4 linked regions of the Anolis sagrei genome follow. Each later gene encodes a partner of the first gene's protein in a complex. Links are inferred from orthologs where the notes say so. Each region holds a gene or a part of one and is shown on either strand. Other genes may lie near its edges.

Region 1 (6,831 bases):
ATTACAAAAATACCAGTTTGCACTCAATTAACTGAATGAGGAGGGGAGGAAAAAGGGAGTGGAATCTTACCTTTCCCAAGAGAAAAGCAAACTTCTACAGCCTCTCTTAGCTTGAGTGTTCTTTTTTGTAAATTTCTGCTATCTTGACACATATGTTCTGGTTTTCATATGTGAAATGCTAAGAGGTATGGGTTCCCCTTGATTTTAAAAGTTCAAGTCTACTTGGGGCTAAAGATGGGATTTAGGCCTTTGAAGCCAGGTTTTACAAGTCATTCTATACAAAACTAATAAAACAATAATATACAAAGCTAATAAAAAATAATAAGACGGGGGTCCAAGATGGCGGCGCGTGCCCTCCTGGTCTCCTTGGCCTGCCTCCGCTGAAGCCTTGCCGCCTTGGCTTCCTCCACTTCCCACCTCGCCTCCTCCTCGGCCAGAGCCCGCCTCCTCTCGCCAGCTCCTCTCCTAACCCTCCTCCGGCCACCTCAGGTTTCAGGAACATTCCTGCAGTTGAACCACCACTATGCTGACCTGCCCCCCTCCCCCCCACGCTGGATGGCATCAAGAAGCGGGTCCTTTACGTCTCAAAACTCTACAACAAGATCGACCCTGAAAAACGCACAGCAAATTCCCACTTCGTGAAAGATCTGGGATGGACAGCCTGGACCAAGTGGAGATTATCATGCGATGGAAGACGAATTCGGGTTTGAAATTCCCGACGTGGAAGCAGAGAAGCTGATATGTCCCCACGAGATTGTAGAGTACATTGTAGATAAGAAAGATGTGTAAGAATAAAGCGTGTGTCCAATGAGCTGAGTATTTCTGTTCTGCCCTGAGGGCCTGGATGGTGTGCGCAGGAAAGGGGGGAATCTGGCGATCAAGACACACGGACCCTTTGTGCCCCTCACTGCATCAGTCACCGTTGGTCTCGGACAGATAGTTCTGCCAGCTGCTGTATTTAATGTTGTACAAATCTATGTTGGCCTTTGAAATAAATGTGAGGCTGTTAAAAAAAAAAACTAATAAAACAAAACCATTGCTGTCCACAAAGGGGCACTCTTTCCCACTGCTGCCGTTGCTTGGCTGCTTTTTTCTCATGTAATTTTGTATATATTCATGAAGCTCCCTATTGCATCCATCTTTTCTTCTCAGGTTAAGGATGATGAATGCAACCCTTTTAGTTCTATTGCAGTTAGTGAAGATGACAGGACATGCAAGGAATTCTAAAAGCAATGGGAAGGAAAACAAATGAAATTGAGATGAACTAATTCAAATGATTTGGAGAGTTGTAAAACATTATGTCACTGAGGTCCATTCTACACTTCCATATGAAATCCAGATTATCTGCTTTGAATTGGATTATATTGCAGTGTAGACTCATATAATCCAGATCAAAGCAAATAATGTGGTGTTTTGCTTTAATAAACTCGATTATATGGCAGTATAGAAGGGGCCTGAACTGTATAAATACTATAAAATCTAGCAAATCCCTAGTTATCCATGTTGGCAATATGAATATGACTCTGAAAAGCATTAGCAGTCTTGTTCATATGTGTGAAAAAGTGTCCCTGGTACATGGGCATTATATCTTTATACATCTGTCCCAATTAAGCTCTCTGGTAAAGTTTATGGCCCATCGTTCACTCTAAAATCATATGCGTGCTGGGCTTTTAAAAAACCTAATATTTTGCATCACTAGATTCTAATAATGCAACTCACCAGCTTCATCTGATATATTTAAAGCCCTGCTTTATACCAAGGTGGGCAACTGTGGGAGGCGATGGCATCAGGGTATGCCTACACATCAGACAAATCCTTAAGTGCATTGCAAAATCAGGTTTTGCTTTTGGGGATTTTTTCCTGAATATTTCTGAATCATGGTTGGTTGAAACTGTGGGTGTGGAACCTCTGGATAAGGAGAGCCAATTGCATTACCATAACATGTGGTTGCCAAAAGTATATGAGATGGGGAGAGAAGCTTGCAGATGCAGATACATATGGAAATAAACAGGATGCAAGTTTAATTCCTTTTAACACTTTATACTTGACCTTGGCATTCCCACTATGAGAACATTTCTTCAGTACGTCTCATTAATTTCAGCAAAACAAACTTCTGAATCACATTTTTAAAATTCCCATTTTACTCCAAACTAGCATGACTATTTCAGAGACCATTAACAAAATGTATTTCCTATGGAACTCACAACTGTTGTAGTAAATTGTTTTTTTAAAAAAATAAGGAAACACTTTAAATATACTTGCCTGGTTGACTGTTGGATGTAACACTCGAAGTCTATATATAGCAGGGTTTGTGTTCTTTTAAAACAGTTTCCAGACATATTGAAACTGGAGGGGGAGGCAGTACAGCATGTGACCATCAGGTTCAATCAAGAGAACCTTGTCTTAAAGTGGGTTATTTATTTAGGTAAGTTAGTTTTGGCCACCTGGGTTTCATTTCCTATCCTTATGATGTTTAAATCTATTTCTGTAAGGGATGTGCAGGTCAGAAAGAAAACAAAGACAAAGACATGAGTGTACAAAGAAAGACAACAATGGAAAAAATTATAAGCTATATTCTGGGGAAAGGCAGAGCATTTTTATACTACAGGAAGCTTCTGCCCATGTTGAGAGTAACCCAAATCATGCTGCGTGTGCCATCTGTTCAGACCAGTAGGAGGCAGCATAGGGTAAATAAGTGGATAAATGCATGATGAGTCAAGATTGCAACTAATGCAGCAATGATGTCTCAAAATACCATGTGTTAATAATATGCTTGCAAGTACAATTCAACCCTGTAATCTACAGATTTGTTGTTTTCTTTATCAATACTATAAGTACATATGACTTTTAGTATTACAAATAATTACTAACACAACTCGTAAGTGATACTATGTGGCAAATGGTTCACGTACAATACCCTTACAAATAATCTGTACTGTAGGTTATTTCTTTGTGTTACAAATGAGAGCCACCATGGTGTGGTGGTTTGAGTGATAGATTAGGATTCTGGAAACCTGGATTGGATCCCCTCTTTGGTCACTGGATAACCTTGGGCTGGCTAGTCACATTTTCTCAGCCTCAGAAGATGACAAAAGCAGTTTCCCTCTGAACAAATATTGCAGAGAAAACCTCATGATTGGGTTGCATTAGGTTTCTGGTACATTTATGCAACTCCTGCCTCATGTCTTAACCCACAATTCCGCTTTTAGTTACCAGGCAAAAGCCCAGATAACATTTTTTAAAGAATTAATTTCTTTTTGAAGAATGCTATTAACTATTATAGGCTAAAACACTTTGGGATACTAGAAAAATAAATCAATCTCTCTGTCTCTCTCTGTCTCTCTTTCTCTCTCTATGCCCCCAGTAAGAAGATTAGCCTGGGATTGGGATCACAACCTGGATGAGGGTACCCCCTCTCAAAGATCTTAGCGTGTAGATACTCTTGGACCCAATGCTGTCCTTGCAGGTCCAGGTCATGGCAGTGGCTAGGAGCACCTTTGCCCAGCTTTGGCTGGTGAACCAGCTGCACCCTTTTCCTTATATAAGTGTAGATGTCTCTTAGCTTTCAACACAAACAACAAGATCCAGACCACTGACTATAGAAGAAGCAAACCTGTTCATTTCCATAATCCCTGTGTTTAAAGTTTGATTAGTGTAGTGGCTTGCAGACACAGAATGAGAAAGTGGAGTGGAAGTTAAAAGCATGTTAAGTGTATGGATAATTAGCATGCACAATCAAAAGGGGAAATAAGCTCTTGCAATGTTATAGTAGCTTTCACTTCCTTTCACTGGATTTTTTTTTGAAGTCACAACCCTCACAATAAGCGAAGCTAGTTCAGTTTCATTTGTGCAGTCACCATCATGGGCAACTGGGTGGAAAATGAGGGGCTCTCCATATTTGTCATTGTAAGTACAACAACCATGCATTTTTAAGTGAAATTCAAATTTTGTATTTGATTAGTTTTATGAAAAACTCTATCCCTTAACTTCTAATTTTGTGATATCTTCCTAGCTTTTAAAACATTGTATTAACAACAGAAATGTTCTTGAAAGTCACGCATCAGAAGGTGTCGTTATGGTTTTGTGCCTTCAAGTCATTTCCGATATATGGGAATTTTAGGGTGAACCTATCATGGGTTTTTTCTTGGCAAGATTTGTTCACAGCTAGTTTACCTTTGTCTTTCTCTGAAGCTGAGAGTACTACTCATTAAAAATGAGTTACTCCCGTAAGGAAATGTGTATTCCTTGAGTTTAGTCAGTTTGGTCCCAAATGCATAACTAACAAAATGGTTGCATTCTGGAATAGGTAGGAAATGAGATGGATACAAACATCATAGCATAGAAAAACTGCTGAATTCTCTGGGTTCCTTGTTGCGCATTAGATTAGAGCAGTGGTTCTTAACCTGTGGGCCTCAGACCACCAGTGGACAATTCTGCCAGCCAAAATGAAAGTTCTGCATTGGGCTCTCTTATAGCTGGTCAACTCTTGATTTGTACAGTCTGGGGTTCATGAAGTATAGTGAATAATTTTTCTTGTCTGCTATTTTGCACCACCTTCTGTTTAGTGGACCATGATGCTGTTTTAAACCACAAACCAGAACCTCCCCTATGTTGTAAAAACCTGGAAATAATTTCAGATCATATGTTTCTTCCTTCAGTTTTTATGGCTGGGTTTAAATGTCTTCCTCTTCTGGTGGTTCTACCAAGTATATGATCTTGGGGAACAGTTCTTCTACACAAGAGAACTTCTTGGGGTAAGTGCTAGATCCCTATTTTTCATATACAGTAGAAAAATAAGATTAACTTCATTAGTCAAAAGAGGAGGACCCCCCTTTAGCAAACAACGGATTTTCTGAAATGTTGCAACTTTGTGTCAGACTATTATTAAATTCAGCTTTCCTGTTATGTTTCTTTCTGTTCACTTTTAAGCAATCCTAAAATATCTGTTGGGTGGACTTCCTCACATTCACATTTCCCCTTTTTTTCTCCCACTTCGTATTAGATTCCAATGTTCACTTTACCACTTCAAAAGTGAGTTGTTATTTGGAAAATGGTGATGACATAATGACTCTACTAATTGCCAATTAGTTTCTGGAAAAGTACAAAGTGTTGGATATTACTTTTAAATCCTACACATTATGGGTCCAAGTTACCAATGAGAATTTGGGGATTAGAGTACAGTACACTGGTTGGTTGCTTTCAAATTTGGATTCAACCACAGAATGCTGCCTGACTTACCTGGAAACCACCAGTTGGCACTCCTTGCAGCGGAGTCTGGCAGGGCAGCAGCCTTAAAATCAAAGAAAAGGTGAATGAGCAGTGGTTAGATAAATGCTATGTGAACTTTTATAATATGGGGGGAACGGCAAAAAGCAATGGATCCTCACATTATCTAAATGGTCACCATTATATAGCTTGTTTGAGGATGAAGAGGAGTGCTGGCTGAAGAAGTTGAATAGAGCAAGATTTTAAGAGTGAAGGATTTATATAATAATGGAGGAGAATTGATGGATTTTATAGAGTTGGTTTAAAATCTTAAAAGATGATGCTGTCAAGGTGATGCATGCCATTTGCCAGCAAATATGGAAAACACAAGAATGGCCATCAGACTGGAAAAAATCAACTTATATCCCCATACCAAAAAAGGGAAATGCGAAAGACTGCTCAAACTTCCGTACAGTTGCCCTTATTTCTCATGCCAGTAAGGTAATGCTCAAGATCCTGCAAGGAAGACTCCAGCAATACATGGAGCGAGAGTTGCCAGATGTTCAAGCTGGGTTTAAAAAAGGCAGAGGAACGAGAGACCAGATTGCCAATATCCGCTGGATAATGGAGAAAGGCAGGGAGTTTCAGAAAAACATCTACTTCTGCTTCATTGACTATTCTAAAGCCTTTGACTGTGTGGATCATAATAAATTGTGGCAAGTTCTTGGTGGGATGGGCATACCAAGCCACCTTGTCTCTCTCCTGAGGAATCTGTACAAGGACCAAGTAGCAACAGTCAGAACTGACCACGGAACAACAGACTGGTTCAAGATTGGGAAAGGCGTACGGCAAGGCTGCATACTCTCACCCAACCTTTTTAACTTGTATGCAGAACACATCATGCGATGTGCGGGGCTGGATGAATGCAAAGCTGGGGTGAAAATTGCTGGAAGAAACATTAACAACCTCAGATATGCAGATGACACCACTCTGATGGCCGAAAGCGAGGAGGAGCTGAGGAGCCTTCTAATCAAGGTGAAAGAAGAAAGCGCAAAAGCCGGGTTGCAGCTAAACGTCAAAAAAACCAAGATTATGGCAACAAGAATGATTGACAACTGGAAAATAGAGGGAGAAACCGTGGAGGCCGTGACAGACTTTGTATTTCTAGGTGCAAAGATTACTGCAGATGCAGACTGTAGCCAGGAAATCAGAAGACGCTTACTTCTTGGGAGGAGAGCAATGTCCAGTCTCGATAAAATAGTGAAGAGTAGAGACATCAGACTTGCAACAAAGATCCGCCTAGTCAAAGCCATGGTATTCCCTGTAGTCACCTACGGATGTGAGAGCTGGACCTTAGGGAAGGCTGAGCGAAGGAAGATCAATGCTTTTGAGCTGTGGTGTTGGAGGAAAGTTCTGAGAGTGCCTTGGACTGCGAGAAGATCCAACCAGTCCATCCTCCAGGAAATAAAGCCCGACTGCTCACTGGAGGGAAAGATACTAGAGACAAAGCTGAAGTACTTTGGCCACATCATGAGGAGACAGGAAAGCCTAGAGAAGACAATTATGCTGGGGAAAGTGGAAGGCAAAAGGAAGAGGGGCCGACCAAGGGCAAGATGGATGGATGGC
Region 2 (7,485 bases), on another chromosome or scaffold:
ATGGAAAAATAGAAGTAACATTTGGGAATTTGATATGAAGGAGGGAACTGGTCTGCCACATTAAATTCCCAATTCTTTTAAGAAAGAGACACATACACACAGAAATAACTTTCACGGTTTTGTGTGGGCAGCTATGTCTCTCTCTGCATTAAAAAACAGCACTGAGCTGTACAATTTATATGGATCCGAGAATCTTCTGTTGGTACATGCTGGTACATAAGGTTTGCAAAATAGGAAACTAAACATAGCACTGTTCTAACAGATTAAGGAGAAAGTGGTTGCAAGGATGAACAACAGAATAAGAAAACATTCCGCTCCTTTTTTAAGGTGCCCAATATGTTACAACTCACTTTTCCATCTGGTACGCCACAATTCCTCGCTGGAAATATGCCACTGCTAAGTGTCTGTCATTGTTGGTACTCCTGGTAAAGGCCTGAAGGAAGCAAAAATAATACCTCTTGAAAAGTATTATAGATACAGCAGTTTGGGACTTCTGGGTTGCCAGGCATTGCCAGCACAAACTGATGGGGCACAATCTATATAAATAAAAATGTAACAGTCGTTTGTGGTATTAACATAACTCAAAACCCACTGGACGAATTGACAACAAATTTGGACAGCATACACCTAACAACCCAATGTATCCTTCACTCAAAATTTTTTGATTTTGTCTTTTGGGAGTTGTAGTTGCTGGGATTTATAGTTCACCTACAATCAAATAGCAGGATAGAATTGAACCAAACGGGGCATAAAGGACTCCCATGAAGAATAGAAAACACCAGAAGGGTTTGGTGAGCATTGAGCTTGAGTTTGGGAGTTGTAGTTCACCTATATTCAGAGAGTACCATGGATTCAACCAATGATGGATCTGGACCTGGGCCAAACTTGGCACAAATATTCCATATGCCCAAATATGAACACAGATGGGGTTTGGGGGAAATAGACCTTGACATTTGGGAGTTGTAGTTACTGGGATATAGTTCACCTACAATCAAAGATTGTTCTGAACCCCACCAATGACAGAATTGGGGCAAACTTCCCACACAGAACCTCCATGACCAAGAGAAAATACTCAATGCTATCCAGTCCAACTCCCTTCACCAGGGCAAGAAAACATAATCAAAGCCCTCATGACAAAGAGCCATCCAGCCATAAATATAGATAGATGTGATTCACACACACAGAGATATAGTATCATAGATTTGAAAGGGACTCCTAAAGAAGGACAATATGTTGCATGTTCCAGAGTAGGCAAACCAGACAATCTTCACATTAACACTGACAAAGAAACAATAAGAAATACTGTTTACCCACAAGCATAAAAAAATTACATATATTAGAAACCAATGCTTTCTCATTACTTTATTTTCCAGATCACCAGACTGGGCCACAGCAAGGCCTGGCAGGGGACGGCTAGTCTATATAAACAAGCCACGAGAACAAGCCATGAGAGTCAAGACAAAGATCCACCCTGAGGAAAAGTGTTCTTGCAATATATCAAGGGAACCACTGACCGCATTGGGAAGCTGATGAGGAAACACAACATACAAACTATCTACAGACCCACCAAGAAAATCCAGCAAATGCTACGTTCAGCAAAGGACAAGAGGGATCCTCTCACTTCTGCAGGAGTCTACCGTGTACCATGCAGCTGTGGACACGTCTACATAGGGAGCACCAAACGCAGCATTGCCCAGACACGCATCAAGGAACATGAAAGGCACTGCAGACTACTTCAACCAGAAAGGTTAGTCATAGCAGATCACTTGATGAACCAACATGGACACAGCATATTATTTGAGAACACAGAAATGCTAGACCACGTCACACTACACAGAAGAGCCATTGAAATCCACAAGCATGTGGACAATTTCAACAGAAAGGAGGAAACCATGAAAATGAACAAAATCTGGCTACCAATATTAAAAAACTCTAAAATTACAACAGCAAAACAACAGAGAGTAAACAATCAGGCACATCTAATCACCTCTCAACAAAAGATTCCCCCAGGCACTGCCAAGCCATCAAATGCTAATCAAGGTGGTCAGTTGAAACATTCACACCTAGCTCCAGCAGACAAGAGTTTTGTCCCACCCTGGCCATTCTACAGATATATAAACCCATTTTCCTACTTCCAACAGACCTCACTATTTCTGAGGATGCTTGCCATAGATGCAGGCGAAACGTCAGGAGAAAATGCCTCTAGAACATGGCCATATAACCTGGAAAAACCTACAACAACCCAGTGATTCCGGCCATGAAAGCCTTTGACAATACATTGAAACCAGAATGTTTCGCACACCCCTAAATCTGTTGTAACCCCCTGCCATTTGAAAATGAAAAAGGAAATAGAGTAGGAACAGGGAAGGAAAACAAGTAAGTTTAGCTAGCAGTCCATATTTTTTTGGTCATTCACCAATCAAACCAAGAGCAGGTTGTTGCAGGTTTTTTCGGGCTATATGGCCATGTTCTAGAAGCATTCTCTCGTGACGTTTCGCCTGCATCTATGGCAAGCATCCCCCGAGGTTGTTAGGCGAAACGACGGACTTCTAGAACATGGCCATATGGACCGAAAAACGTACAACAACCCAGTGATTCCAGCCATGAAAGCCTTCCACAAACCAACAGCAGCTCAGAAATCCTGACTTAATAACAGGGACACAGCTAACCTGTTTTTAAATGGCTTCTTTTCCCATCTCTCCCTACTAGTTCCATGGAAGGACTCCTGCAGCCATCCAGGTTTACTTGTTGGGCTTGTTAAGCTGCTTTTGGGGAGAATATTTCAGTTTTCTTGGCCACCTACCTGCTGTGCCTCATCCAAATTCCCCATGACCAGGTGGGTGCAGCCAATGTTAAAGCAGATTTTGGAGGAAGGATTTGGAACCGAAGTGAAGGCAGACAGAGCAGCCGGCCAGTCTTTGCGGTCAGCTGCAGACACCCCTTCACTCCACAGTCGAATTGTCTCTACAAGGGCCATGGCCAAACTGGAATCTATTCAGTTGCAAGCAAGGGGCTCTCACAATCCACCAGGCAAGCTCCCCTTGCACATCAGGTATGCATTCTGCTCCCCCTCTCGAAGCTCACCAGTGTTGCAATTGCAAACAGACCAGGAAGTCTCATCACTGAACTCATAACTGAAAGAGGGGCCAGGCTTGACAGAGGAAGTAATGCCACACGGGCTGGAAGATTGCCCAAAGAAGAAGCTGCTTTCAGGACAGAGCATTGTCTGTGATCCTCTGCTCAGGTTGCTTGCACTGTCTGACGTTGACTTCTCATCATGCGACTGCAGTCACGCCTTCCTTTTTCTGAATTTCACTTTCCATAAGAGTCTTAAAATAAAATCATTGGGCTTCCCTTTCATGATGTGTTAACTCGGGATCTGTCGTGAAGATTTCAAGAGTCAAACCCGGCCTCTCTGTGGTAAGAAGCTATACATAAAAAGGAAGCTGTTGCAGGATTGCTCAAGTTAACATCTTTTAAACACAAGTGAAGTCGAGCATGTCCGTCCGTCCCCCCAATAAGGGATGGTAACTTATAGTTCTGCAAAGGGCAAGGGTACCAGATTGCACAAAGGGGTTAAGTCTTGGTCAATTTGTCAAAGACACTAACAACAACAAGGACCCCATGAGGCTTTCAGGGAAGAGCCTGGCCTTGAGGCCCCAGTCCTTGGAGGGAGTTATAGTTTTCCAAGGACTAAGGACCAGCTTGATCTTGGCGCTGCAAGAATCCCTTCCTTGGCTCAATGGAAATCACCCAGCTCCTTTTCTGACTATTGGACTTCCTACACATCATTTTTGGCTCTAATGAACTTATTTTCACGTTTGAACTTCCCCAGTATGAACTATGGACACATGTTTTATCAAAATTATTATTTTAATCAATTTCTCTGGCGGGCAGGAAGACCCGGATAAAGTAATCAACAAGACCCATCAAAAGACAATAGACTGGCATCCTTTGCAGGCTGAAGTCTCAGACTCAGGATTCCCCCAGGCATGAAATCCATTAATCCATTCATGAACCCATTGTTTCTTCTTCGTCCCACCTCCCCTCTCCTGATTCGCCGGAGCGCTGAGGCGGTAGGAGCTCTCCAATTGGTTCCTGCACAGCGGAGGAGCTCTGTAGTTGGCTTTGGCCCCCTCCCAGCTGGAATCACGTCAGCCAATCATCAGGGCGGAGGGCGGGAATTTTGAAACTTCTAAGCCTGTAAACCTTATTATAAAAATGTCTCTGATCTTTGTACTGGCATGATTTGTAGGCGAATGATTGCTACATTGCATCCTTTTCAGCTGAATCACTAATAAAAACACCTCAGTGCCACTTCTTCAACTTTGGTGAGATTTATTTTGAATTTTTTAATTTAATAAATTGGCTGAAATCAGGCTTCTCTAGCTCGCCAAAGTAGCGATCCCTCTTTGGTGGGGTCTCAGGGTCCCTCCTCCTGGAGACGACCCTCCTAAACTTCCTACCGACTTCACAAGCAAGTTGCCCAACTGGTACTTCCATAGAATACTATTATCTACTTTTTTGCTTGTGAGTTGGATTAACAACTAGCCCACCTCCCAAATTCTTCCTCTCTTAGGCAATCCCTCATTGGCTGAGTAGGATAGTCTTCCAGGATCAGTGTTCTGGTGGGTCCGTAGGTGACTGTGGAGCCCTATTCTTGATCTGCATCTTCTCCCACAGTGAGGGCATTGGTTTCCAGGTGGAAGGTGGTCTTGGTCGGGGTTGGCTTGATGCACCTTCCTCTTGACACGTTTCTCTCTTTCGCCCTCCATTCATACTTCTTCAAATTCTACAGCACTGCTGGTCACAGCTGACCTCCAATTAGAGCGCTCAAGGGCCAGGGCTTACCAGTTCTCAGTGTCTATGCCAGAGTTTTTAAGGTTGGCTTTGAGCCCATCTTTAAATCTTTTTTCCTGTCCTACATTCCGTTTTCCGTTCTTGAGTTCGGAGTAGAGAAACTGCTTTGTGAGATGGTGGTTGGGTATTCGGACAACGTGGCCGGTCCAGCGGAGTTGATGGCAGAGGACCATCGCTTCAATGCTGGTGGTCTTTGCTTCTTCCAGCATGCTTCTTCCAACATTTGTCCGCTTGTCTTCCCAAGGGATTTGCAGGATTTTCCGGAGGCAGCACTGATGGAATCGTTCCAGGAGTTGCATGTGACGTCTGTAGATAGTCCATATCTCACAGGCATATAGCAGAGTTAGGAGGACAATAGCTTTATAAACAAGCACCTTGGTATCCCTACGGATGTCCCGGTCCTCAAACACTCTCTGCTTCATTCAGAAAAATGCTGCACTCGCAGAGCTCAGGCAGTGTTGTACTTCAGTGTCAATGTTGACTTTTGTGGAGAAGTGGCTGCCAAGGTAGCGGAAATGGTCGACATTTTCTAGTGTTACACCATTAAGCTGTATTTCTGGCATTGGAGAGGGACTGGCTGGTGACTGCTGGAAGAGCACTGGTTTTCTCGATGTTTAATGACAGGCCGAGCTGCTCGTATGCTTCTGCAAAGGTATTTAGAGTGACTTGTAGGTCTTCTGAATGCGCACAGACAACGTTGTCATCAACATACTGGAGTTCTATAATAAATGTTGTTGTAACCTTGGTTTTGGCTTTCAGTCTGCTGAGGTTAAATAGCTGTCTGATAGATGATTTCCACTCCGGTGGGAAGCTTCCCATCAGCAAGATGAAGTATCATAGCTATGAAGATGGAAAAGATGTGTTAACTCAGGATCTCTAGTGAAGATTTCAAGAGTCAGTGATGGGTCAAACCCGGCCTACCTGTGGTAAGAAGCTATATATAAAAAGGAAGCTGCTGCAGTATTGCGCAAGTTAACATCTTTTAAACACGAGGTAATCGACAATATTTGCTTTGAACTGGATTATCTGAGTCCACACTGCCATATAACCCAGCTCAATGTGGATTTTATACCAGTCTGAGGGGAAACAATCTCAGAGTCGCTAGTAAAGGACTTGATAAAATAGTGTAGAGACATCACACTGGCAACAAAGATCCGCATAGTAAAAGCAATGGTATTCCACATAGTTACCTATGGATGTGAGAGCTGGACCATAGGGAAGACTGAGCGAAGGAAGATAGATGCAGCCAGAGAGACGCAGCCTAGGCTCACTTGTACCCTCAATAGCAACAAAATGGAGGGACGGCGGGCGTTTTGCGTCCCAAGAAAGAGGCCTATTTGGAGAAGGGCCTGTTGAAAGGACAAAGGGCCTCATGGATGCCGTAATTCTGAAACAGACCATTGCTGACAACCAACAGCCGAAGTCAGCCATGCCGGTTTTGAGGCCAGACTCGTAGGTGTTTTGGACTCCCAACTCCCACAGTTCTTAACAGCCAGTAGTGAAGTGTCCTGTTCTAAGCCTGTCTAGAAACATCCTGCTCTTCTACAGGGTAACTCAGTCCTGTCAGAAGAACAACAACAAACATGGTGTCGATGGAGAGACGCGGCCTAGTCCCACTTGGAGCCTGGGAGACATTGAAATAGTGAGGCAGCGTGCCTTTAGTGGCCAGAGAGATGTGGCCTTGTCCTACTTTGGAGCCTGGGGTACAGGGAAATACAGTGGACCTTTTGCAGCCAGAGAGACGTGGAAGAGAAGGCTGAGAGGAGATATGATAGCCATGTATAAATATGTGAGAGGAGGCCACAGGGAGGAGGGAGCAAGCTTGTTTTCTGCTTCCCTGGAGACTAGGACACGAAACAATGGTTTCACACTACAAGAAAGGAGATTCCATCTGAACATGAGGAAGAACTTCCTGACTGTGAGATCCGTTCAGCAGTGGAACTCTCTGCCCCAGAGTGTGGTGGAGGCTCCTTCTTTGGAAGTTTTTAAACAGAGGCTGGATGGCCATCTGTCAGAGGTGCTTTGAATGCAATATTCCTGCTTCTTGGCAGGGGGTTGGACTGGATGGCCCATGAGGTCTCGTCCAGCTCTTTGATTCTATGATGCTTTTGAACTGTGGTGTTGGAGGAAATTCTGAGAGTGCCTTGGACAGCGAGAAGATCCAATAAAGCCTGACTGCTCATTGGAGGGAAGAATAGTAGAGGCCAAGATGAAGTACTTTGCCCACATCATGAGAAGAAAGAAAAGCTTAGAGAAGACAATGATGCTGGGGAAAATGGAAGGAAAAAGGAAGAGGGGCCGACCAAGGGCAAGATGGATGGATGGCATCCTTGAAGTGACTGGATTGACCTTGAAGGCAGAGGTGGCCCTAGGTAATTTTCAACGGTAAGCAAACAGTATTTTGCACACACACACACACCCCCGCCCCCAACCAATCACTGATATATATTTTCTGTTCGTCATGGGAGTTCTGTGTGCCATATTTGGTTCAATTCCATCAATGGTGGAGTTCAGAATGTTCTTTGATTGTAGGTGAACTATACATCCCAGTAACTACAACTCGCATATGTCAAGGTCTATTTACCCCCAAGAGTGCCTCAAGAGTGCCCCTGGGCAAAATCAACT
Region 3 (7,610 bases), on another chromosome or scaffold:
AGGAGCCCCAGAGTTGCAAGCAAGTGATATCCACAGGCAAGCTGCAAGCTCTTACTGAGCTGACTTCAGCTTATGGAAAAGGACATGGTTTTGAGTCACAGCCAAATAATACTGTCAGGAAGGAGATGAATAGTCTTGCAAATGTCCTCCACCCACGACAAGCTATCCCAGTAAAAGGATGTTATGTTCCATAGGGCAATGACTCCCCAGATCCACCACTCAGCACAGCCAACAGCTGCTTTGGTCAACGGCTGTGGCGTTGAGGTTGAGGTAGGGCTAAGCCTTTGGCCTGTTGTAAACTGGTCATGTTCTCAAAGTGTTGGCCTCCACTTGAAATACCCCTTTCCACTACTTTTTGCCCAGAGGGAGTTTGCGAGATTTTGTGATTTATAGGTAAAGAAAAGAGAACATTCTCACATGCTGCTTATTTCTTTCAACAAAACATAGCAGCATTGTACTAAGGCTCCCAATAATAATAATAATAATAATCATCATCATCATCATCATCATCATCATCATCATCATCATCATCTTTATTTATACCCCGCCACCATCTCCCTAAAGGGTACTTGGGACGGCTTACATGAGGCCATGCCCATCAATACAGAAACACAATATAACACAAAAACATAACTGAAAATCAGAAAATAAAATAACATAAAGTACAAAAATACAAAATGTAAATATACAGCACAACAATATAAAATCAAAATATTAAACCACTAAAAATGAACACAATGGACAGGGCCAGTTCAAAGATTAAAAAATTAAAACACTGGGAGATAGGGCAGTGTAAAATATCAGGAAGGGGATCCGGGGGATAAGGTAAGAGTTCATTGCACAAACCAGAGAATAAAGTGTGTCTGAGGACATTTTATGCAGAGTTTGGTCAGGGACAGGGGCGGCTCAACCCATTACACAAAGTAAGCATTTGCAGTATAGTTGATTTTGCCCAGGGGCGCTCTTTAGGCGCTCTTGGGGGAAAATAGACCTTGACATATGTGAGTTGTAGTTACTGGGATGTATAGTTCACCTACAATCAAAGAGCATTCTGAACACCAATGATGGAATTGAACCAAATATGGCACACAGAACTCCCACGACGAACAGAAAATATATATCACTGATTGGTTGAGGGGGAGGGCAAAATACTGTTTGCTTACCATTGAAAATTGCCTAGGGCCGCCTCTGGTCAGGGATTATCATACATTCAGTCATTGAAGGCACATTGGAACAGCCAAGTTTTCAGGCTCCTCCTAAAGATTTCCAGGGTGGGGGCTGGCCTAATATCTCTGGAGAGTGTATTCCAGAGCCAATGGGCCACCACAGAGAAGGCCCTGTCTCTCGTTCCCACAAGTCATGCTTGTGATGAAGATGGGAGCGAGAGAAGGGCCTCTACGGAAAATCGAAGAGGTCGCATGGGTTCGTAGACAGAAATATGGTTGTGCAGGTAGGCGGGCCCCAAACTGTTTAGGGCTTTGTAGATCAAAACCTGCACCTTGAATTGGGCCCGAAAAATAAATGGCAGCCAGTGGAGCTCCTTAAACAGGGGGGTTGACCGCTCCCTGTAGCTCACACCAGTTAGTAGTCTGGCTGCCGCTCGTTGGACCAGTTGGAATTTCTGGGCTGTCTTCAAGGGCAGCCCCACGTAGAGCGCATTGCAATAGTCCAATCTAGAGGTAACTAAGGCATGGACCACCGTGGCCAAATCTGACTTCATGAGATACGGTCATAGCTGGCGCACGAGCTTCAATTGTGTGAAGGCCCTCCCAGCCACCGTCGACACCTGAACTTCAAGCATTAGCGCAGAATCTAGGAGGACACCCAAGCTGTGGACCTGTGACTTCAGGGGGAGTGCAACCCCATCAAGAACAGGTTGCCACCCTATAAGAAGTTATGGGTGAGTGGAGGGGATCACTCTGGGAAAGGGGGAGCCCAAGGTCTCACTATACATAAAAAGCAGTCTGATGACAAATCCCAGACCTACTGCTTCCATGCTACAAGCCGGTTTTGTTTCTGGACTGGAAACTGTTGGTCAGGAGCAGGGTATTTCTCTTAGGGCTACACCTATCTCTTGAGTGTCAGCTCCTGGCCTCTAGCCTATGCACACTGACATCAGGAATTAGATCTCCACAGGTCACAGCAGCCTTGTGCATTTATGGCTTATGGCAAATGCTTCCAGAAAGACAAATGCTTTCATTTTCCCATGCAAAATGAATAGTCACATATGCTCTTTACCATCATCAAGCAGAGAAAGACCAGCCCCGACGCAAGGTCACAAACACCTTGTTTTTGTTTCATTTGAGAGCTTGCTGCACTGTGCTAGCTTTTAATCCAACAGATTCAACATTTTTGTTTCGTATTTTTGGAGGTCACTTGCATTTAACAAAGCAGTATATGAAACATTCATCAGAACCAAACTACATAAAGTGGTCATGGACCACTCAGCAAGGGATAACTGTATTCTGGCCTTGATTCTGTCATCGATGATGCCACACAGAAATAACACATATTCCAGAGTAACATTTAACTGAAACTATCTTTTTGTGGCACTTTTTGTTAAATGTTATTTTTCTGCCCTTGATGTCTTGGATCAATCTTCCCCCTCATGCTTGCATGGCCACTCTAAAAGAGATATGGACATAGAGCAAGAAAGAGCATGCAACCCAGCCAATAGGGTATTAGAGGAAACAAGAAGTTCATCCAAAGCTCAGCCCTTCCCCCACTCTCCCCTGTGCCTCAAAGGCATCATACATACCCATCTCCGACCACCACACACTTGATGGCTTGCATATCTGTGGCCTGGCGATGCTGTGGAGTTCAGCAGGTCTCTCGAATAAAGGTAACAGCTCACCAACGTTGCCGGCAGGAAGTGTTCTACAGTTATATCAAAACCAAAGCTGAATTGAACAGCAGGTTGTGGGTTAGGGAGGAAAGGGAAGAGAGAATGTTTCTCAACCCGCCCACTAGTCCCCAAGGCAGCCCTGACTGTGTGCTGGGGGAAGGGTGTGCAGCTTCAAATATATTTCTCTCTTTGCATGCTGCAGATAGCTAAGCACTTCCTTTTTCATCACACTGTGTGGCTTAGTCTTTGGACACTAAAAAGAGGTTGCAATGCAGTTTCTACACAGGAAGGAGAACCATCCAGAGGAGCAGAAGGAAAGTGGGAGAAAGAACAAACCCCAGAAAGAGATATTTTCCCTCTTTCTCTTTCAGTTGAGAAGAAGATGGCTGGGTGAGAGTGGCTTGCCATTATAGCTGTCTCTGGAGCCTTGGTGAAGAAACACCTTTTCTTCTCTTGTCAAAAGAAATACATTTCTTTTTTAAGATACAGAAAATTACAGTTTTTAAAAATCGTCCACAACATTGTCTCATATTTCCATGAAACCCAGGTGTGCCCATCTTCCTGTGAATAGGTGGGATACACTGGTGGGTGTACATGGAATGCTTTGAGTGGTTCATCCTTCCATTGCTGCCAGCAGATTTGCCCTTGCTGCCATTTTTGCTACTGCTTTTTCTGCCACTGTCCAACACACAACCATTCTTCTTGGAAATAGGAAACTTTGAAAGCATTACACATAGTTTTCTTTTTTTCAGAAGTATGCTTCATACTGTAGTTGCCATGACATGAACTACAACGGGGCCAGTTATCATAAGGGGGAATTCCTCTCCTATTGCAATCATTGTATGCATAATTTCTAAATAGGTTTACTTAGAAACAAGTAAAGCAAACTTAGGAAACTAGCCTTGTGCTCTTCATATTCCATGTTTCCCAGTATAAATGTTGGAATTTGGGCAGCACTAGCAACAGATGTTTTGGTAGTGGACATTCAAGGGAGGGAGAAGAGAAAATGTTTGCATTGTAACTGCAGGCTACATGCTGTCCATCCCTGCTTTAATTTAGGAATACTCTTACTTGCAGTAATACCAGCCCAAGATATGTTGGTCCCTGCAAAGGAAGACCTGGTGATGTCCTCCTAGTCCATATACAAAAGGTGAAAGGACTGGCAGTTAAATCTTATTACTACTTTGGTGAAGGGAAAATCTGCTTCATTCCAGTTGAGTACAGCAACTTAGCTTAGAAGGAATCCCACTGGAGCATTGCAGTACATCCACATACCTGGGAGTTACCCTGGACCACGCTCTGACTTACAAGAAGCACTGCTTGAATATCAAGCAAAAAATGGGTGCTAGAAACAATATCATACGAAAGCTGGCTGGCACAACCTGGGGATCACAACCAGATACAGTGAAGACACCTGCCCTTGTGCTATGCTACTCTGCTGCTGAGTACAAATGCCCACTGTGGAACACATCTCACCATGTCAAAACAGTGAATGTGGCTCTTAATGAAACATGTTGCATTATCCCAGGATGTCTATGCCCTACACCACTGGAGAAATTAAGCTGTTTAGCCGGAATTGCACCACCTGACATCTGCTGGGAAGTAGCAGCCAGTATTGAAAGAACCAAGGCAGTGACATCTCCACCCTTTCCCCTGTTTGGATATCAGCCAGCATGCCAATGCCTCAAATCAAGAAATAGTTTTCTAAGATCTAAAGAGATACTTGCAAGAATACCTCAGCAAGTGAGAGTCCAAAAGTGGCAGGCTAAAACCCAGAGCCTCAAGCCATGGCTGATACCGAATGCGAGACTCCCCCCTGGGCACCCAGGAGACTGGGCAAGCTGGAAGGTGCTAAACAGACTGCGCTGTGGCACCACCAGATGCAGACCCAACCTTAAGAAATTAGGCCACAAAGTGGAGTCCACAAGATGCGGGTGAGTAGAAGAGCAAACCACAGACCACCTATTACAATGCTTTCTAAGCCTTGCCATATGCACAATGGAGGACCTGCTTATAGCAACACCAGAGGCACTCCAAGTGGCCAGTTACTGGTCAAAGGACATTTAGTATAATGCCAAGTTTTTTAAACTTTGTGTTTTAAAAATATATTATACCTGAACCCTCGGTTTGCTTCTGATACGATAAATAAAATAGCTTAGGGTGTACAGGCCAGATTGTGTGGCATGTACAATTCTGTTATTTAACACCTTTTCGCGAGCAACCACTGCCTGTGGTGGTTTCCTCAGCCCAGTATTAAGGCTAGCCTTGACCAGACCCGCTATTCAATAGCCTCTAATGACCTTAACTCTGCACTGTAACATTTCAGCAATCATAGCAAATGAGATACAATTATCATAAGGAAATCAGAAAACCAGCATGCAAGGAAGCAAGAGAGACATGTTACCAATGAGTCATGGAATCATCCACATATCCTACTGTCATACCCAGTTTATATGCATCCATCAGTTAACAAATTCCATAAAAAATTAACCCTGTAATCACAATTACAACTATCACAGCAATTTTCTTTGTCATCTTGTCACATCTTCACAGAGGCACCCTTTATAATTTCCTTGTCTGACACACTAGATAACTAATAATTAGTAAATAATGATACAAAAGAAAGCAACAGGATCACTGTATTTGGATCAACGCATTCACTTTGCTGCCATCATGCATGATTTGTGCCTTGGATGGTCACCTGCTCTTCATTAGAGTCATCTGTTTGAAGGTGCCCTCCACTATTTGAAGATCATCTCAGTCCAAATCCATCTTCCACACATAACTCTACTGGAAGAAGACTTGAAGTTCCTGGATAGCAGATTGAAATTTGTGGTTTTGTGAGATATTTAACCTTCTCTTCCAAATCCCATGAATCCATAGGATGGGGCCGTGTCATTTAATAATTTTGCAGTGTAGCTGGTCTATGTTTCCTTTTCACTGTAGTTGAGATATAGTTCTATTTAAATTGTACATCCCCAAATAAATTAACATACTGTAGATACTCCTGTATAAATTGACCTCCTGTATAAATAGTTGTGGCCATACAACCATTCAAAAATTCCAGAAGTAGTTCCAAGGCACAGAGCTTAGAGTGGGTCAGTTCTTCTTTTAGGTTCTCCTGGAATGAACTAAGCTATTGTTTTTTGCCTCTCTGCTTAGAGAAGGGGGTGGTTGATTTTCTGATATGAGTTAAGCTACAGCATTCACATTGTTGTTGTTCATTCGTTCAGTCGTCTCCGACTCTTCGTGACCTCATGGACCAGCCCACGCCAGAGCTCCCTGTCGGCCGTTACCACCCCCAGCTCCCTCAAGGTCAGTCCAGTCACTTCAAGGATGCCATCCATCCATCTTGCCCTTGGTCGGCCCCTCTTCCTTTTGCCGCATTCACATTAACCTATGGATAAATCAACCCAGTTTTTCAGTTGATTTTTTATTAAAATTTCTAGACTTATTCATGAGTATATACTGTAGGATATGTATGTAGATTTTATGCAAACCTGTGATCCATTTTTTGAGTTAGGCACTTTCCCCTTTTATGTTAGCAGCTGTGGCCCTCTAGATGCTTTTGGACTACCATTCCCTTCAACCCTAGCTAACAACAATAAGGGGTTATGGTAACTGCAGTCCAAAAACATCTGGAGGACAACAGTTGTCAACCTTGATCAAGATGTTCACACACCTATCAGACCTAGAAGACAAAACAGCAAGTCTATGGTGCAAAGAAGGGGCATCTTGGAGCTTTATTTATTTAAAAAGTGATGTGCTATATTTTACCATCAGTAACATTACATCAGGAATTGCTTGGTTATTTCAATAATGGCTTTCATTAATCACTACCATGCCCTACTTAACATTTAATTATCACATAATTAATAATTGCAGTTTCATTTTATATTAGCCAATAATTGCCAAACAGACTCCAGGTCCTCTGTCCATTATGAATCAGTTGTAGAGTCATGGGAAGGCAATATTGCCACTGTGGAAATAGATAATGGCTTTAAATACCACGAGGTTGACAAAGCTTTTCACAGCATTCCTGCTTTCTTGGGAAAAGGGGCAGGAATGTAAAAGATAAAAATGGTAGGGATGTAAAAGATACAAAATAGCAGCAATTCACAAATGGCAAAGTACATGAAATTAAGAGAGCCAAAATCCACGGCAGTCAGTCAAACATAAATCCATAAACATAAAAACAGGAACTTTTTCCAAGCAAACCCTCCCAGGAATGAGGGCAAAGATAGAAAATTTGATTCATGGCCTCCACATATCATGTTGCTGCTGGTGAACAGGTGGTGGACCTGAAGTGAGAAACGAAATTCACTGGGGCCTGAGGCCACTATTGCTGGCCCTATTCCTACACTCTGCTTTTTGGTAATGGTGAGATCAGGTCATTGCCAGAACCAAGGGTAAAAGTATAAGTCTTTACATAGTCACTGGGAATGTGGTACCTGATGTTATGTGTTTCTGCCCCTTTGATCAACAACTAACAATGGCTGCAGAATATGTGACCTTCCAGATGTTAACATGCTGCCTCTTCCATAGTCCCCCACCAATGGCCACTTAGATGGGTTTGATAGGGATTAGTATCCAATATAAGATTGACAGGGAAAAATAAGGGTTGTCAAAGCAGAACTGTGTTAACATAAAGCGTGTAAATACACTGCACATGAATCACAAAACAAAACTGAATGTTACTTAGTTATCTTGTAGTCCTTGAGACAGTAAATTATCTTCAAATACTGTCTAAATTAAGTCCAAATGA
Region 4 (7,640 bases), on another chromosome or scaffold:
TAGACACAACGAGCATTCGGCTCATTCCTGCATCTGGAAAGGTGAGCAGCTGGGGACGCAGCGAGTGGATCCTTTATGCATGGGAAGATGGTCTTGGGTGATTTTTTTCCACGGACCCCACACTCATCTTGACATTTTGGGCTAGGTGGCGAATGGTTACGTGGCGATTTTCCAAAATGGTGACCTCCACTTGCTGGATGGTGTGTTCATCAAGAGCAGAGTGCGGTCGCCCTAGAATTGGAGCTGTTTGCACCGAAGTCTGACCACATTGGAACCAAGGATGCCAGTTCTTGACTCCATCTTGTGATGAGGAAGCATCACCATAAACCTCTTCCATCTCATTGAACGTCTCCTTTGGTGTGTGGCCTTGCAAGAAAAGGAACTTGAGGACTGCTCTGCACTTCAGCACCTGTCACATCAAGACCGTTCTCAGTTCTGAGTTGTAAATTGGCATGTCACCTTTAGAGACTTATATCATTGCACATGGGTAGTTTCAGTGTCCTGTGATCAATAGAAGTGGGTCAGGGGAAATCTTTCTTGAACACCACTCATATAATTAGCCCTTTCTTCAGTCCACAATGGAATGGACAATGCCAGTTCTTGAATCCGTCATATGATGGCGAATCATCCCCATAAACCTCTTTCATCTCATCAAACGTCCCCTTTGGTGTGTGGCCTTGCAAGAAAAGGAACTTGAGGACTACTCTATCTGCCACTGGGTCCATTCTCAAACCTCACACCACTTCAGCACCTGTCACATCAAGACTGTTCTCAGTTCTGAGTTGTAAATTGGCACGTCACCTATAGAGACTATCATTGCACATGGGCGGTTTCAGTGTTCTGTGATAAATAGAAGTGGGTCAGGGGAAATCTTTAATGAACGCCCCTCGTATATCCATATATATGGTCATTGCAGGGTTTGGCATCGTCTTCCACCATTTCCCAGCATCCCTTCTGCAAAGGAGGATGGAAGTTGTCATCCAGCAGCACGTGGATGGCTGTAGTTTTCTCTGTTGATCTCTCAATATTTTTAATCCATTCTAACCTTTGAAACCTTCTGCCTTACTAGAGAAAACTCTGGGACTTCCTTTTCCAGAAAATCAAGCAGATAGCCTTCCTATTGCCTTTCTTCCCTTTGCACAAAGTCTCCTGGAGAATGCAGTTGTCCTTTTCCCCCAACTTTGGTTTCATTTTTACTGGGTTGCTTTTTAAAAAGAAGTGAAAGTCGATAATTTTCATCCGAACTCTGGTGTTTTCTTTTGGGGATTTGCTTCTCTTATACCAGTGTTTCTCAACCTTCCTAATGCCGCGACCCCTTAATACAGTTCCTCTTGTTGTCTTGACCCCCAACCATAACATTATTTCCGTTGCTACTTCATAACTGTAATTTTGCTCCTGTTATGAATCGTAATGTAAACAGGATGTATTTTCATTCACTGGACCAAATTTGGCACAAACATCTGATACGTCCAAATTTGAATACTGGTGGGGTTGGGAGGAAATAGATATTGTCATTTGGGAGTTGTATTTGCTGGGATTTATAGTTCACCTACAATCAGAGAGCATTCTAAACTCCACCGATAGAAATGAACCAAACTTGGCACACAGAACTCCTTTGACCAACAGAAAATACTGGAAGGGTTTGGTGGGCATTGACCTTGTGTTTTTGAGTTGTAGTTCGACTACATCCAGAGAGCACTGTGGACTCAGACAATGATGGATCTGAACCAAACTTGGCACAAATACACAATATGTCCAAATGTTAACACTGGTGGAGTTTGGGGAAAATAGACCTTGATATGTGGGAGTTGCTGGGATTTACAGTTCACCTACAATCAAAGAGCACTCTGATCCCAGTCCACAATGGATCTTCACCAAACTTGACAAATTACATAAACAGCCAACATTGAATATTTATAGGGTGGGGGCTGTTTCTGAATTCTGGGATTTGTAGTTCACCAACACCAAAAAGGAAGAGAAGAACAGGTGGAGAGATCGCCAGCCTTTTCTGCCAAAAGGGTTCCTAAGGCTTTTTGTTTTCTGATGGTCTTTGGAGGCCCCTCTGAAACCCCTCTCATGACTCCCCCAGGGATCCTGACCCCCAGGTTGAGAAATACTGTCTTATAAAGATGCAAAATTAACACTCATACCATCACTGAATTGCAGAGGTATAGGATGGGGGACACCAGGCTTGGAAACAATGCAAATGAAAGGGATTGAGGAGAGTCAAGACAGTGATGCAGCAGCGTAAAAGGCCAATGCGATTCTCAGGTTGGGATAGATGGCCTTTGGGGTGCCTTCAAGTGCTAACGGAATATATGCCTGGGAACCCAGTGAAGTCGCTTTCTCAGGAGGTTTCCAAGCAGAGGCTGAATGGCCATCTGTTGGGAGGGCTTGGACTATGTCTTGCAAGGCAGAAGGGGGCTGGCCTTTGGAATATGCCTTCCAGATATATGATTGTATAAATTGTCAGGATAGAAGCATTCAGAATGGAATGGCTAATTAGGGAGCCTCCATACCTGGAGGTCATTAAGTTGGGGCTGGATGGCCATCTGTCAGGAGGGCTTGGATTGTGTCTTTATGGTAGAAGGGGGTTGGAATAGAGGGCCTTTGGGGGACCCTTTCAAATACATTATAGTATACATTTTAAGGATGGAAACATTCACAATGGAATGGCTGGTGATGGCCATCCAGTCCAACCCCCTCCTGCCCTGCAAGGCACCAGCCAAGCCTTAGCAACAGATGGCCATCCAGCTCCAACTTCAGGATCTCCAAAGATGGAGACTCCATCACCAGCCACTGCATTGGGAATGTTTCCATCCTGAACATTTATATCCAGAAGGTTTCCTCCAAAAACCATCTATACCAACCCCCTTCTGCTATACAGGAATGGCTTGAATGATGTCTTCCTATATAGCAGAAGGGGGTTGGTATAGATGGTCTTTGGAGGAAACCTTCTGGGTAGAAGAGTCGATTAATGTTCAGGATGGAAATATTCCCAATGGAGTGGCTGGTGATGGAGTCTCCATTTTTGGAGGTCATGAAGTTGGGGCTGGATGGCCATCTGTCACTAAGGCTTGACTGGTGCCTTGCAGGGCAGGAGGGGGTCAGACTGGACGGCCTTTGGAGGTCCCTCCCATCTCTGGGGTTCCTTTGCAAAAGTTCTTTGCGCCTTATAGGAGGAGGCAGAGGAAAGGAGAACTTGCCCCAGTCATTGCACCTTTGGAGAGGTCGGGTGCCTCTTCTTTTCATGAAGTTGGGGCTGGATGGCCATATGCCAGGATGGCTTGGATGGCGTCTTCCTATATAGCAGAAGGGGGTTGGTATAGATGGCCTTTGGAGGAAACCTTCTGGATAGAAGAGTCAATAAATGTTCAGGATGGAAACATTTCCAATGGAGTGGCTGGTGATGGAGTCTCCATCTTTGGAGGTCGTGAAATTGGGTCTAGATGGCCACCTGCCACGATGGCTTGGATGGTGTCTTCCTGTATAGCAAAAGGGAGTTGGTACAGATGGTCTTTGGAGGAAACCTTCTGGATATAAGAATCGATTAACGTTCAGGATGGAAACATTCCCAATGGAGTGGCTGGTGATGGAGTCTCCATCTTTGGAGGTCGCGAAGTTGGGGCTGGGTGGCCATCTGTTGCTAAGGCTTGGCTGGTGCCTTGCAGGGCAGGAGGGGGTCAGACTGGATGGCCTTTGGAGTTCCCTCCCATCTCTGGGGTTCCCCTCTCCTTTCACAAACTTTGCAAAAGTTCTCTGCGCCTTGTAGGAGGAGGCAGAGGAAAGGGGAACTTCTCCCAGTCGTTGCGCCTTTGGAGAGGTCGGGTGCCTCTTCTTTTCATGAAGTTGGGGCTGGATGGCCATCTGCCAGGGTGGCTTGGATGGTGTCATCTGTCAGGAGGGCTTGAGTGGTGTCTTCCTATATAGCAGAAGGGGGTTGGTACAGAGGGTCTTTGGAGGAAACCTTCTGGATATAAGAGTCGATAAATGTTCAGGATGGAAACATTCCCAATGGAGTGGCTGGTGATGGAGTTTCCATCTTTGGAGGTCATGAAGTTGGGACTGGATGGCCATGTGTTGCTAAGGCTTGGCTGGTGCCTTGCAGGGCAGGAGGGGGTCGGACTGGATGGCCTTTGGAGGTCCCTCCCATCTCTGGGGTTCCTTTGCAAAAGTTCTTTGCGCCTTATAGGAGGAACTTGTCCCAGTCATTGCACTTTTGGAGAGGTCGGGTGCCTCTTCTTTTCATGAAGCTGGATGACCATCAGCCAGGATGGCTTGGATGGTGTCATCTGTCAGGAGGGCTTGGGTGGTGTCTTCCTGTATAGCAAAAGGGAGTTGGTAGATGGTCTTTGGAGGAAACCTTCTGGATATAAGAGTCGATTAATGTTCAGGATGGAAACATTCACAACGGAGTGGCTGGTGATGGAGTCTCCATCTTTGGAAGTCATGAAGTTGAGACTGGATAGTCATCTGTTGCTAAGGCTTGCCTTGTATCTTTCAGGGCAGGAGGGGGCTGGACTGGATGGCCTTTGGAGGTCCCTCCCATCTCTGGGATTCCCCTCTCTTTGGCAAACTTTGCAAAAGTTCTCTGCGCCTTGTAGGAGGAGGCAGAGGAAAGAGGAACTTGCCCCAGTCATTGCGCCTTTGGAGAGGTCGGGTGCCTCTTCTTTCTGCGTCTCTCTTCTCCAAACCGGGGGGAAAGGAAGGGAAGGAGGGGCAGGAAGGGACGTAGCCGGCGGCCCGGACTAGCCCTGCCCTGCTGCTGGGAGCCCTTCCCGGCCGGATCCCTGCCCTCTGGCCCCTTCGCCCCTTCCCCTCCCTTTCTCCCTCCGGAGTGCCAAAGGAGGAGCAGCCATGGGGCGCATCGAGTGGGCCATGTGGGCCAACGAGCAGGCGCTGGCTTCGGGGCTGAGTGAGTCTTTGCAAAGTCGGGGGCTTGTTTCCTTGTTGTTGGGGGAGGAGACCTAGGCATCAATAGAGGGGAGGGGGGTCCAAAGACCCACCCAAAGACAGCCCAAAGGAATGCGCTTTGGCACCACTTGGAGAGCCAGGGCGCAAAGCTATGGACATCAAGAGCACTTGCAGCTTGGCAAAACTTTTTGGTTTGATGGCGACCCATCAAGCCACATTCCCCCACATGATCCCCATAGCACAAACCCATAGGATAGTGTTTCTCAACCTTCCTCATGCCACGACCCCTTAATACAGTTCCTCATGTTGTGGTGACCCCCAACCATAACATTATTTTTGTTGCTACTTCATAACTGTTATGTTGTTACTGTTATGAATTGTCGTGTAAATATCTGATTTGCAGGATGTATTTTCATTCACTGGACCAAATTTGGCACAAATACTTGATACGTCAAAATCTGAATACTGGTAGGGTTGGGGGAGGGATTGATTTTGTCATTTGGGAGTTGTAGTTGCTGGGATTTATAGTTCACCTACAATCAAAGAACATTCTGAACTCTACCAATGATGGAATTGAACCAACTTGGCAAACAGAATACCCATATACAACAAAAAATACTGGAAGGGTTTTGTGTGCAGTGGCCTTGTGTTTTGGAGTTGTAGTTCTCCTACATCCAGAGAGCACTGTGGACTCAAACGACGGATCTGGAACATACATGGCATGAATACTCAATATTTCCAAATGTGAATACTGGTAGAGTTTGGGGAAAATAGACCTTGACATTTGGGAGTTGTAGTTGCTGGGATTCATAGTTCACCTACAATCAAAGAACATTCTGAACCCCACCAACATTGGAATTGAACCAATTTGGCAAACAGAATACCCATATACAACAAAAAAATACTGGAAGGGTTTGGTGTGCAGTGGCCTTGAGTTTTGGAGTTGTAGTTCACCTACATCCAGAGAGCACTGGTGGGCTCAAACAATGATGGATCTGGACCAAACTTGGCATAAATACTCAATATTTCCAAATGGAGTTTGGGGAAAATAGACCTTGACATTTGGGAGATGTAGTTGCTGGGATTTATAGTTCACCTACAATCAAAGAGCATTCTGAATCCCACTAATGATAGAATTTGGCCAAACTTCCCACAGAGAACCCCCACGACCAACAGAAAATACTGTGTTTTCTGGTGGTCTTTGGTGACCCCTCTGACACCCCCCTCACGACCCCCCTAGGGGTCCTGACCCCCAGGTTGAGAAACGCTGCTATAGGAGTTCAAGTGATGCCAAACTGCATTAATTCTACAGTGCGGATGTGCACAAAATGCTCATTGTTTCATATCTTCCTTTCTGTGCATTTTGTCTCCAAACAGCAACTTTGGGCATGACTCTTTGAAGTGCTCCATTCTGTGAAGTTGTAGTATTCCAAGGCTTTTGAGCCTTTTCCTGCCGAAAGAGCAATTAATTTATCGTGTCAGAAGCACATTGAGGGTACAGTTAAAATGCATTTAAAGTTGTTTTTTTTTAAAAAAAAAAAAACGTGGCATGATGCTAAATGGGTTGTTGTGATTTTCCAGGCTGTATGGTCATGTTCCAGCAGCATTCTCTCCTGATGTTTCGCCTGCATCTGTGGTAGGCGTCCTCAGAGGTTGTGAGGTCTGACAACCTCTGAGGATGCCTGCCATAGATGCAGGCGAAACGTCAGGAGAGAATGCTGCTGGAACATGGCCATACAACCCAGAAAACTCACAACAACCCAGTGATTCCAGCCACGAAAGCCTTCAACAATACATTATGTGAAATGTTGTTTGATCAGAAGCTGGCCTCTTGGAATGCCTTTGGTTTTGCTGTGAGAAGGTCCTCCGTTGTACATGTGGCAGGGCTCAGGCCACACTGTAATAGGTGGTCTGTGATTTGCTGTTCTCCACACTCGCATGTCATGGACTTAACTTTGTGGCCCCATTTCTTAAAGTTAGCTCTGCATCTCGTGGTGCCAGAGCACAGCCTGCTCAGTGCCTTCCAAGTCTCCCAGTCTTCTGTGTGTTCAGGAGGGTGTCTCTCATTTGGTCTCAGCCACTAATTAAGGTGCTGGGTTTTAGCCTGCCACTTTTGGACTCTCGCTTGCTGAGGTGTTCCTGCAAGTATCTTTGTAGACCTTAGGAAGCTGTTTCTTGAATTAAGGCATTGGCATGCTGGCTTGATATCTGAACAGAGGATAGACTGGAGATGTCACTGCCTTGGTCCTTTCATTTCTGGCTGCTACTTCCCGGCAGATATCAGGTGGTGCAATACCGGCTAAACAGTATAATTTCTCCAGTGGTGTAGTGCATAGACGTCCTGCAATAATGCACCATGTTTCATTAAGAGCCACATCAACTGTTTTGACATGGTGTAATGTTTTCCACACTGGGCATTCGTATTCAGCAGCGGAGTAGCCAAGTGCAAGGGCAGGTGTCTTCACTGTGTCTAGTTATGATCCCCAGGTTGTGCCAGTCAGCTTCCATACGATATTATTTCTAGCACCCATTTTTTGCTTGCTGGTAAAGCAGTGTTTCTTGTAAGTCAGGGCACAGTTCAGGGTCACTCCCAGGTGTCTGGGTGTGCTGCAATGCTCCAGTGGGATTCCTTCCCAGGTCATCCTCAGAGTTCGGGATGCTTGTCTGTTCTTAAGGTGAAAAGCATATGTCTGTGTTTTGGATGGATTAGGAATCAGTTTTCCCTG

Evidence for each region.
Region 2: CYBB (region 1) and NCF2 share a complex: the UniProt entries of both Homo sapiens proteins name them as parts of the phagocyte NADPH oxidase complex. The link is inferred for Anolis sagrei from reciprocal best matches to the Homo sapiens genes CYBB and NCF2.
Region 3: CYBB (region 1) and RAC2 share a complex: the UniProt entries of both Homo sapiens proteins name them as parts of the phagocyte NADPH oxidase complex. The link is inferred for Anolis sagrei from reciprocal best matches to the Homo sapiens genes CYBB and RAC2.
Region 4: the proteins of CYBB (region 1) and CYBA are in contact, whole or in part, in a cryo-EM structure (PDB 8X2L), measured with the Homo sapiens proteins. The link is inferred for Anolis sagrei from reciprocal best matches to the Homo sapiens genes CYBB and CYBA. Residues at the interface, in NP_000388.2 of Homo sapiens: Thr116, Ile117, Leu120, Phe121, Val123, Glu124, Asn128, Asn133, Lys161, Asn162, Pro163, Gly166, Leu167, Ala170, Val180, Thr183, Leu184, Ile187, Leu188, Thr191, Ser192, Thr194, Lys195, Thr196, Ile197, Arg199, Ser200, Tyr201, Glu203, Val204; in NP_000092.2 of Homo sapiens: Gln3, Ile4, Glu5, Trp6, Met8, Trp9, Glu12, Gln13, Ala16, Ile20, Thr23, Val27, Gly31, Phe33, Thr34, Gln35, Arg56, Arg59, Met65, Gly102, Phe103, Leu104, Leu105, Ala106, Ile108, Leu109, Ala112, Cys113, Ile116.

Annotation. Positions count from the first base shown.
Region 1 is NC_090023.1:79,967,250-79,974,080, reverse strand, and holds the start of CYBB (cytochrome b-245 heavy chain), read left to right. Parts: upstream 1-3,815; 5' UTR 3,816-3,861; coding exon 3,862-3,906; intron 3,907-4,658; coding exon 4,659-4,754; intron 4,755-6,831. UniProt on the Homo sapiens protein: Catalytic subunit of the phagocyte NADPH oxidase complex that mediates the transfer of electrons from cytosolic NADPH to O2 to produce the superoxide anion (O2(-)).
Region 2 is NC_090024.1:122,473,114-122,480,598, reverse strand, and holds the start of NCF2 (neutrophil cytosol factor 2), read right to left. Parts: upstream 3,005-7,485; 5' UTR 2,978-3,004; coding exon 2,804-2,977; intron 434-2,803; coding exon 351-433; intron 1-350. UniProt on the Homo sapiens protein: Subunit of the phagocyte NADPH oxidase complex that mediates the transfer of electrons from cytosolic NADPH to O2 to produce the superoxide anion (O2(-)).
Region 3 is NC_090025.1:165,898,008-165,905,617, reverse strand, and holds the start of RAC2 (ras-related C3 botulinum toxin substrate 2), read right to left. Parts: upstream 3,006-7,610; 5' UTR 2,794-3,005; coding exon 2,759-2,793; intron 1-2,758. UniProt on the Homo sapiens protein: Plasma membrane-associated small GTPase which cycles between an active GTP-bound and inactive GDP-bound state.
Region 4 is NC_090028.1:26,681,295-26,688,934, reverse strand, and holds the start of CYBA (cytochrome b-245 light chain), read left to right. Parts: upstream 1-4,633; 5' UTR 4,634-4,857; coding exon 4,858-4,915; intron 4,916-7,640. UniProt on the Homo sapiens protein: Subunit of NADPH oxidase complexes that is required for the NADPH oxidase activity that generates, in various cell types, superoxide from molecular oxygen utilizing NADPH as an electron donor.